2 linked regions of the Arabidopsis thaliana genome follow. The protein of the gene in region 2 interacts with the protein of the main gene of each other region in a pairwise test. Each region holds a gene or a part of one and is shown on either strand. Other genes may lie near its edges. The genes, in order: ETR2 and ADF3.

Region 1 (3,929 bases), on a different chromosome or scaffold from region 2:
TTCCTCTTTCTTTCAAAACCTTAAACATCAATGAAGATCCTTCTTGACGTTTTCTAGGCTTTACTAAACTACCAACTATATGAAGTATCACTTGAAAGACCCTTCTTTCATCACCTACTACATTATCAGGTAGAGACTTCTCCGCGTCAACCAAGAACCTAATTCCATTGCATAGACACAAACATCTCGCCATACAAGCTGCTTCATGGATCGTACGATGCAGACTAAATGGTTTCATCTCCGTACCAAATCTACCGTCAGGCACATCCATAGAGTCCCCCACCAAATTCGACATAACATTCCCTGTTTTAACCATCGTATCAACAATCATTTTCTGCTCGTCACTCAACTTCTCGTCCTGAATCATCGACAAAAGACCGAGTATCGAATGCATAGGACGCCTCATCCCTTCGCTCATCGTTTTCTGAAACGCATTCCTCGCTTGGCTCGCTCTCAACGCGTCTCTCTTCGCCATCTGCAACGCCCTGTTCTGTTCCGCCAGCTTCTCCCTCATAAGCTGAGACTCTTCAAGAACCGCTGCATGATCTAACGCAACGGTTACTTGATCCGCCACAACTTTAACAATCTCAATCTCCTGATAAGTCCAATCCCGAGGCGTCCCGCCCGGTAAAACACAAACAAGTATCGCATAACTTAGCTCTCCATTAAAATCCGAAACACGAAGCATCGGCATTCTAATAGCAGCCACGGCACCAATCTCACTAACATCCCCACCACCACCACTAGCTCGAGCAATGGACGAGTCAACACTCAACACATTCACTTCATCACTCTCCCTAATCCTAACAACATCCAAATCCTCCATAGAAACAGAACAACCACCATAACCACCTCTCCCTCTCAACTCATGAGTCAAATCCATCTCCGTTCCACCGTCATTCGGCATCCAAACCGCACAATTCTGCAACCCTAAAGTCTTCGAAAGCTCAACCAAAGTAGTATAAAGAATCGTATGACGATCCAAAGACTTACGAATCTCTTGAGTAAGCATACGAACATGAAAGCCAGTCTCTTTCTTAATCAAAATCAAACCAACTTCACGACCAAGCTCATGAGCTTTCTTCTTAAGCATAAACTCTCTAACTTTAACTTTCAAAAGCAGAGGAATCAAAGTAATAAGCGTAATCGCAGTAGCACAAGAGACTAAAGCAGTCAACATCTTGAAAACAGTAAACGCCATCATTAATCTAAATGGATGAGCAGAGTAAGTCCAACCATGAAGAAGATGAGTCATACCACAAAGAACAATGAAGGCGATAAACTCAAAGAGAACCCATTTGAATGGAACATTGGAACAACTCACGAAGTAAAGTAACTCAATAGGGATTGAGAAATAAGCTACTGCGATTAAGAAATCGCTTACTCTTTGAGTTTCTAGAATGTTCTCTGTACTCCAGAAACTGTTTCCTTCGTCTTCGCAGTTACATCGTGGATAACCACCGCCGTTTATAGCTAAAACCGGAGAAACAAACACCACCATTGATAGTATCAATAACCAAGAAGCTATTTCTTTAACCATCTTCGGAGAAAAAAAATGCTTAGTCCATTATACTCTGCAATTAGAAAAACAAGAAACAGAGTGAGAAATAAAAATCAAAACTTTAATTTGGGTAATAGTAGAAAGAACAGAGAAAGAAAAATTTGGAATACCTGAAAGAGATGAGTTTGGATCAAAATGAAACAGTTCTCAGATCTCTCATCGACCTGTGAAATTCCAACGAAGTGATGTACGAGAATCTTCTAATTCTCTTCGACATTCCGATCTTCCTCTCATAGAAGAACAACGATGACGAGAATAAAAATACACAAAGAGAAAGACAGAGACAGAACAAAAAAAGCTGGTGATGACAAAACCAGAAGACTTAAAAGTGAAGAGATAGAGACAAATCTGAAACTACTTTGAAGTTATATAAAAAAACGTGAAGTACGTTTATTTATATATGCCGGAGATGATTAGTGCCGGAAAACCGCCATAAGCCGCCGATGGAGGATAAAAAGAGAAGTGTATGTATAGGGTGTAAGTAAAGGTAGGAGCCGTTGGTTTTAGAGGAAGGTTTTGAGATTTTTTCTTCTTCTTTATTCTCTGATTTAGAAACTTAAAGAGGTCCCACTTGTTCTTACATGAACCGAACTTAGACGGTCTTTTGAATTTTTTCTGAGTTGTGTTTTTTTTCTTACACTTAATAATTTTTTGGTCACTAATGTATTAATAAATCATTTAATATTGAAAACATTTGTTATTTCCTCAACTTGTACGTTTTATAAATTTAACTTATTACAAGCTGTAACATAGAATAATTAATGGGTACTCTGAATTTTATCAAAATCCCGTATATCATGAGACTGAAGAATAGAATAAAGCTTGTTTATTTGTATATGAATGAGTAAAATATTGGTATAATTGTTGGAAACTATCAAGCCACATGACATGAATCTAGGAACCTAAAAATTATTTTAATAAATGTGTTTTATTCCAAGAAAGTATAAAATTAAGACCAAGGAGGCAAATAGATCATATATTTCTTAAATTAGCTTTGTTTATAAACAAAAGAGCACAAAATCTAACGTAATCACTGTGTTTTGAACTGACACAAGTAGTCGGATATTTGATGAGATTAGTCTAATACTCTAATTAGATATTTTAATTAGTCAAATATTTACAAAAAGAAGATATGTATAACGCCTTAAGATGTTGATTAATATGAGGGACCTACAAAACTGTGATCTTTGATTTTATTATAATGTTTCCTTCACCATACATGAATCTAAAGAGTAATGAGTATATATTTGAAACCACATTGCTATTACTTTCCTAACTTTTAATTGTATGGTTTTGACTCTAGAAGAAACCATGTTAGACCACAGAATGTCAGAATCGCATGTGTTCTTTTATATTGAAGCTCTAATTAGTATCTACCAATCATCTTTGAAAAACATCATTGTTTAAAGCCTTTGTACATATTTATTTTATTTATTGATAGTACTATCTAAAGAAATTGAACCTAGAAGTTTTTAGACGACACGTTACCTAAGTTTTTTTTGTTGGTGTTTTTAGTGGTCACTGTAACAACAGAGAGTTTTAGCATCACTACCTATAACCATAATCTTGATGCTTCAAACGGAGTCATACAATTACAGAACAAAAAAAAATACATTGAAACTCTTGAGCATATTTTGTGAAGCTAGTTCGGATAATTTTGAATTTCCACAAGTAACAAAGTTTCTTGTTGTTTTTGTAATAAATCCCATCTTTATCTATAGAATGAGTACAAAGTCTCAAGAGACATTTAACTTTTTGCAACGATCTAGAAGAAAACACTTTAAAAGGCTCTCATGCGTTCTTCTTGCTTAACAATTAGTCACCGACTGTCAAATGCAAATGTTCTCCTAGAACCACAGTCATAACAGGGTGCTTTTCAATGCATGAGCACAATGAGAAGGAAACCCATATATCAAATATACAACTTATATATGACCATTAATCGCTTCGGTTACATTTATTTACCTCACGGGCAACACCTTCGTTTTTCAAAGATTCATCTTCTCGTAGATCAAGAATTACCATAACATCATATCTGAACCATGAACGAATGCAAATATTATATGTTTCCTCAACAATAGAGCATAGAGAAGTGGTATTTTTAATTAAGATATGTACTATCTACAGCTGCATCAATCTCTGTATCTTTCAAACCATCTGGACGTTTGAAATCTCTGACAATCTAAACAACACATGAACAAAATGTGTCATGAACATGGGTTCTTGAAGATACTGTAAACTTAAACAAGAAAGAAAATAAACTTAATGTTAAAGGTGGTGATATAAGGAAGATGTTGTCAAATCTAACCTTCTTAATTATCTCGTTCTCAAGACAAACACGATAGTCATCTGCACCAAAGACAGGAGC
Region 2 (3,929 bases):
AAACATATGATAAATAAGATCAACATTAATAAAATAAATGAATTTTTTTTACGGGACGGGTTAGCGGGACGGGTTAGCGGGACGGGTTTGGCAGGTTGTTACTTAATAACAATTCTAAACTATAAAATAAAAATATTTTATAAATAGTTACATAGATAGTTACAAATTGTAAACTTTTATATATACTACCTTTAAAATATAAATTGTCTCCGCGGTATACCGCGGGTAAAAATCTAGTAACGCCTATTATGGTTTGAAATATGATTCATCACATATTATATATATTTTTATTTGTTTGTAGTTTTGTATGTTTTGGGGTTTTGGCTATGTTTTTCTATAAAAATCAACACAATACTAAGTTGAGTAAAATAAATTATTGAACCAGTCAGCGATACAAAAATATCTAATAAGGAAGACCAAATAATCAGCATGAAAGGTCGACAATTAATGAAGAAAGTCATTTTGTAGAAATGCAAGCCTTTTGATACCAGCATAGCATACGGGCTTCTAAATTCTAATGCTCACATAATGTCATTTATTGTTTAAGAAATATCTAATATCGCTCGAAATATGAGATTTGTTGTTGTCGAAAAAACATAATCCAAAGAGTTATCAAGAATCTAAAATCTTGTGTTATCAATAATCTATAATCTCGAAGGAAGTATGCTTTGGTTCAATCAAGTAACACACGTCAATCTTAATCCTATTGAAACAATGGTATAGAAATATGCAAATACGATCATATCAACTAAGATATACCGAAACCAAATATATTGGGATCTTTCAAAAGGACACGATCGGGAACTCTAACTACTGTTTGAGACTTTCCTAAAGTTATATCGATAACTAACGGTCAAATACCTGCAAATTTTGGATATATATAAAGATATATACCGAGTTTGTGTATAAACATGTTGTTTCTCCTAATCATACGTTATTGGAAACATTAACGCGGTTTGCTTTATGCAACTTTGAAACATTTGCTAATTTGTTGATATAAAATTTGGCTATTTATACTGTTTAGTTTAGTAAGGAATTAACACAAATGTTTTAGCGCATTATTGCACATTTGTGTGAAATAATATACTATTTTCGGGAAAATCATAATCGAAATAGAATTCCAAAATTTCCACGTGGCATATTATGAAAGGAATATTCCAGCTCGGGTAAGCTGGCCTCCATCACCGGTTATGATGAAAGGTGAGCCGAAAGTGGAGCCAACCTGAGATGCCCCGCATGAGAGCCATATGCTTCTTCGACCTTTCATTCTATATTCTTTCCTTTTAAAGATAGCAACTATTGATCAAAAAAAAGAAGAAAAAAGATAGGAACTATAGAACTATAGTCTTTTTTTTTCAACGAAGAACAAATATATGGTTATGAACTATTCTTAATGGATGGTCAAACAGATTTTTTGATTTTTTTCTAAGAAATTTTGCATGTGAATACATAACTACAGTTAATTCCATTCAACTGTTACTTTTCTTTGGGTGAAACAATAGGTTGGCAACTTGGCATAGATATCAACATCAGAGTTTTGAACAAATCTATCATCATTTAAGAAATGATAGAAAATCAAGTATTGTTTTTCAAATCAAGAAATATCAAAGAAGAATTCTGTATTAAGTTTAGTTCTCATGGAAGCCATAGAATATATCAGAAGTTTGAAACAAACAGCAAATATATGGAATAAAAAACATAGTTATTGGAATAAATAGAATAGTTATTTTTTTTTGTTTGGCATAAAATAAAGAAAATTATTTGTTCAACAAATTGTTACAGATTTCACTTATGTATATTTTGAACTAATTCTTATTTTTATATTAATTAAATCAAGATTTTACTTTTGAAAAATAATTAATGAATTTATGAAACAATCTCTATGTAAATAAAATAAAGCAAATTAAAACGCTCACACATGTTTACTTATTCGGACTAGAGAGCTTCCGCATAAAGCTGAGGAAAAAAAAGAGAGAAGACGCACACCGAAGAAAACACACAAGACTCCATTATTCTCCTGCTTCTTCGTCTCTTCAATTATTTTCTCTGAGACTAGCTTTGATTCAACCATGGTGAGCTCAAGTCTAATTTTTCTCTCTTATATAGTTCTCTTTCTTTGTTCTCTATGGCTTGATTTGAACTTTGCTTCTCGATTCGAGTTCCATTTCATCTTGGATTTTCAATTCTTCCGATTTAAGTTCTCGCCCAGAGTTAGATATGATTAGATCTGTAGATGGACTCGTTTCTTTGTTTAGATCTCTGAGATTTTGGATTTGTATGGTTAGATGGACTGATCTAGGATATGAATCGGCCGATAGTAAAGTCTTCAATTTCAGTGTGCTTGTGTTGGTTTTAGCCAATTGATTTTGAAACCAGGAAGAATAATAGTGTTCCATGTGGTTTTCCTTTGATTTTAGGGTTACGTCTATCGTTTGTTTAGCCTTTTCCTTTTATAAGATATTGTTTTCTCGCTTCTTTGAGTTATTATTTGCTGCTGTTGAAGTTTTCAGATGTGTGTTTGATTCTGTTGATGGTAGAGTATCATCCGATTAATATGATTCAGAACTGTAAAATCTGTCAAATTGATATTATGATAGCTCAACATCATCGTTCATATACGTTGTGGGAGTCATCCACGTCTTCCCTTTGATATACACACTACCAAGATCTGTTCATGATTCATTATGTTTGATCTCTGAACTAATGTATAACCCGAACGCCGTTTTAAAAGATGGGTATAGTGTCTACTAATATGTGTATTCTGAAGAGAGTTGCATCTTAATGTTCTATGTTTTGTTGGTAACAGGCTAATGCAGCATCAGGAATGGCAGTCCATGATGACTGCAAGCTGAAATTTATGGAATTGAAGACGAAAAGGACACACCGTTTCATCATTTACAAGATTGAGGAGCTGCAGAAACAAGTGATTGTTGAGAAAATCGGTGAACCGGGTCAAACCCATGAGGACCTTGCTGCAAGTCTTCCAGCTGATGAATGCCGCTATGCCATTTTCGATTTTGATTTTGTCAGTTCTGAGGGTGTCCCAAGGAGCAGGATTTTTTTCGTGGCATGGTAACTAACTAACTATACTATCTCTGCTAAAACCTGTCTATCTTGGTTTCACATTCTTTTCATTAACATTTCTTCTTGTTTTTTTTTTGCCAGGTCTCCGGACACAGCAAGAGTGAGAAGCAAGATGATCTATGCGAGCTCCAAGGACAGGTTCAAGAGAGAACTAGACGGAATTCAGGTCGAGCTTCAGGCAACCGATCCAACCGAGATGGATCTTGATGTTTTCAAAAGCCGAGCCAATTGATGAAAGAAATCCCCTGAAAATTTCGGTTGAATCAAACTTTTTCGTACTATTACTCAGTGATGCTTTTTCCTAAAGTTTGCTGTGACGGTACCAACCTGAACAGCTTCATTTTATCAGTTTGGTCTTTGTCTTTGTCTTTGGTCTCCTTTTTGGGTCCTTATAGTGTTGTCTTAAAACTTAAGGAATCTGGCTTGTGCTCTTTACCATTGTGGAAGAAATCGAACCCTTTATTAAACAAGAATCCTATTGGCACATCTTGTCTTCACATAATGAAAACTAATGATCCAGGGATTAAAAAGTTGTGAAAGTTTTATAGGCAAGTTGATACTGTGCAAAGGTAATATACATTTTCAAACATAAGGATCTCTGGATTGATAGAATTTCATTTCGTACACGACTATTCACATATTCGTCAATGCGACTATTTCAGGTTCAAAGTATTAGGAATTTAGGATAGTTCCAATAACGAGAAGAGTTGCTCAATCGAGTTTGGTCCAATAAGATAAACTGACCATCAAACATAAAATCCTAATCGATACTTTTGATTATTTGGAAACAGATCCAACCATTGGCAGTTGTCCATTGCTCATTCTACGCAATCTTTCAACTGTCA

What was found.
Region 1: the proteins of ADF3 (region 2) and ETR2 interact in a two-hybrid assay, tested with the Arabidopsis thaliana proteins (one study listed by BioGRID).

Annotation. Positions count from the first base shown.
Region 1 is NC_003074.8:8,252,767-8,256,695, reverse strand, and holds the start of ETR2 (Signal transduction histidine kinase, hybrid-type, ethylene sensor), read right to left. Parts: upstream 2,138-3,929; 5' UTR 1,672-2,137; intron 1,575-1,671; 5' UTR 1,541-1,574; coding exon 1-1,540. Other genes in the region: AT3G23145 (ATP binding / aminoacyl-tRNA ligase/ nucleotide binding protein), read right to left, coding at 3,500-3,564, 3,680-3,743, 3,870-3,929. UniProt on the Arabidopsis thaliana protein: Ethylene receptor related to bacterial two-component regulators. Acts as a redundant negative regulator of ethylene signaling.
Region 2 is NC_003076.8:24,118,313-24,122,241, forward strand, and holds ADF3 (actin depolymerizing factor 3), read left to right. Parts: upstream 1-1,851; 5' UTR 1,852-2,069; coding exon 2,070-2,072; intron 2,073-2,806; coding exon 2,807-3,072; intron 3,073-3,165; coding exon 3,166-3,316; 3' UTR 3,317-3,637; downstream 3,638-3,929. UniProt on the Arabidopsis thaliana protein: Actin-depolymerizing protein. Severs actin filaments (F-actin) and binds to actin monomers.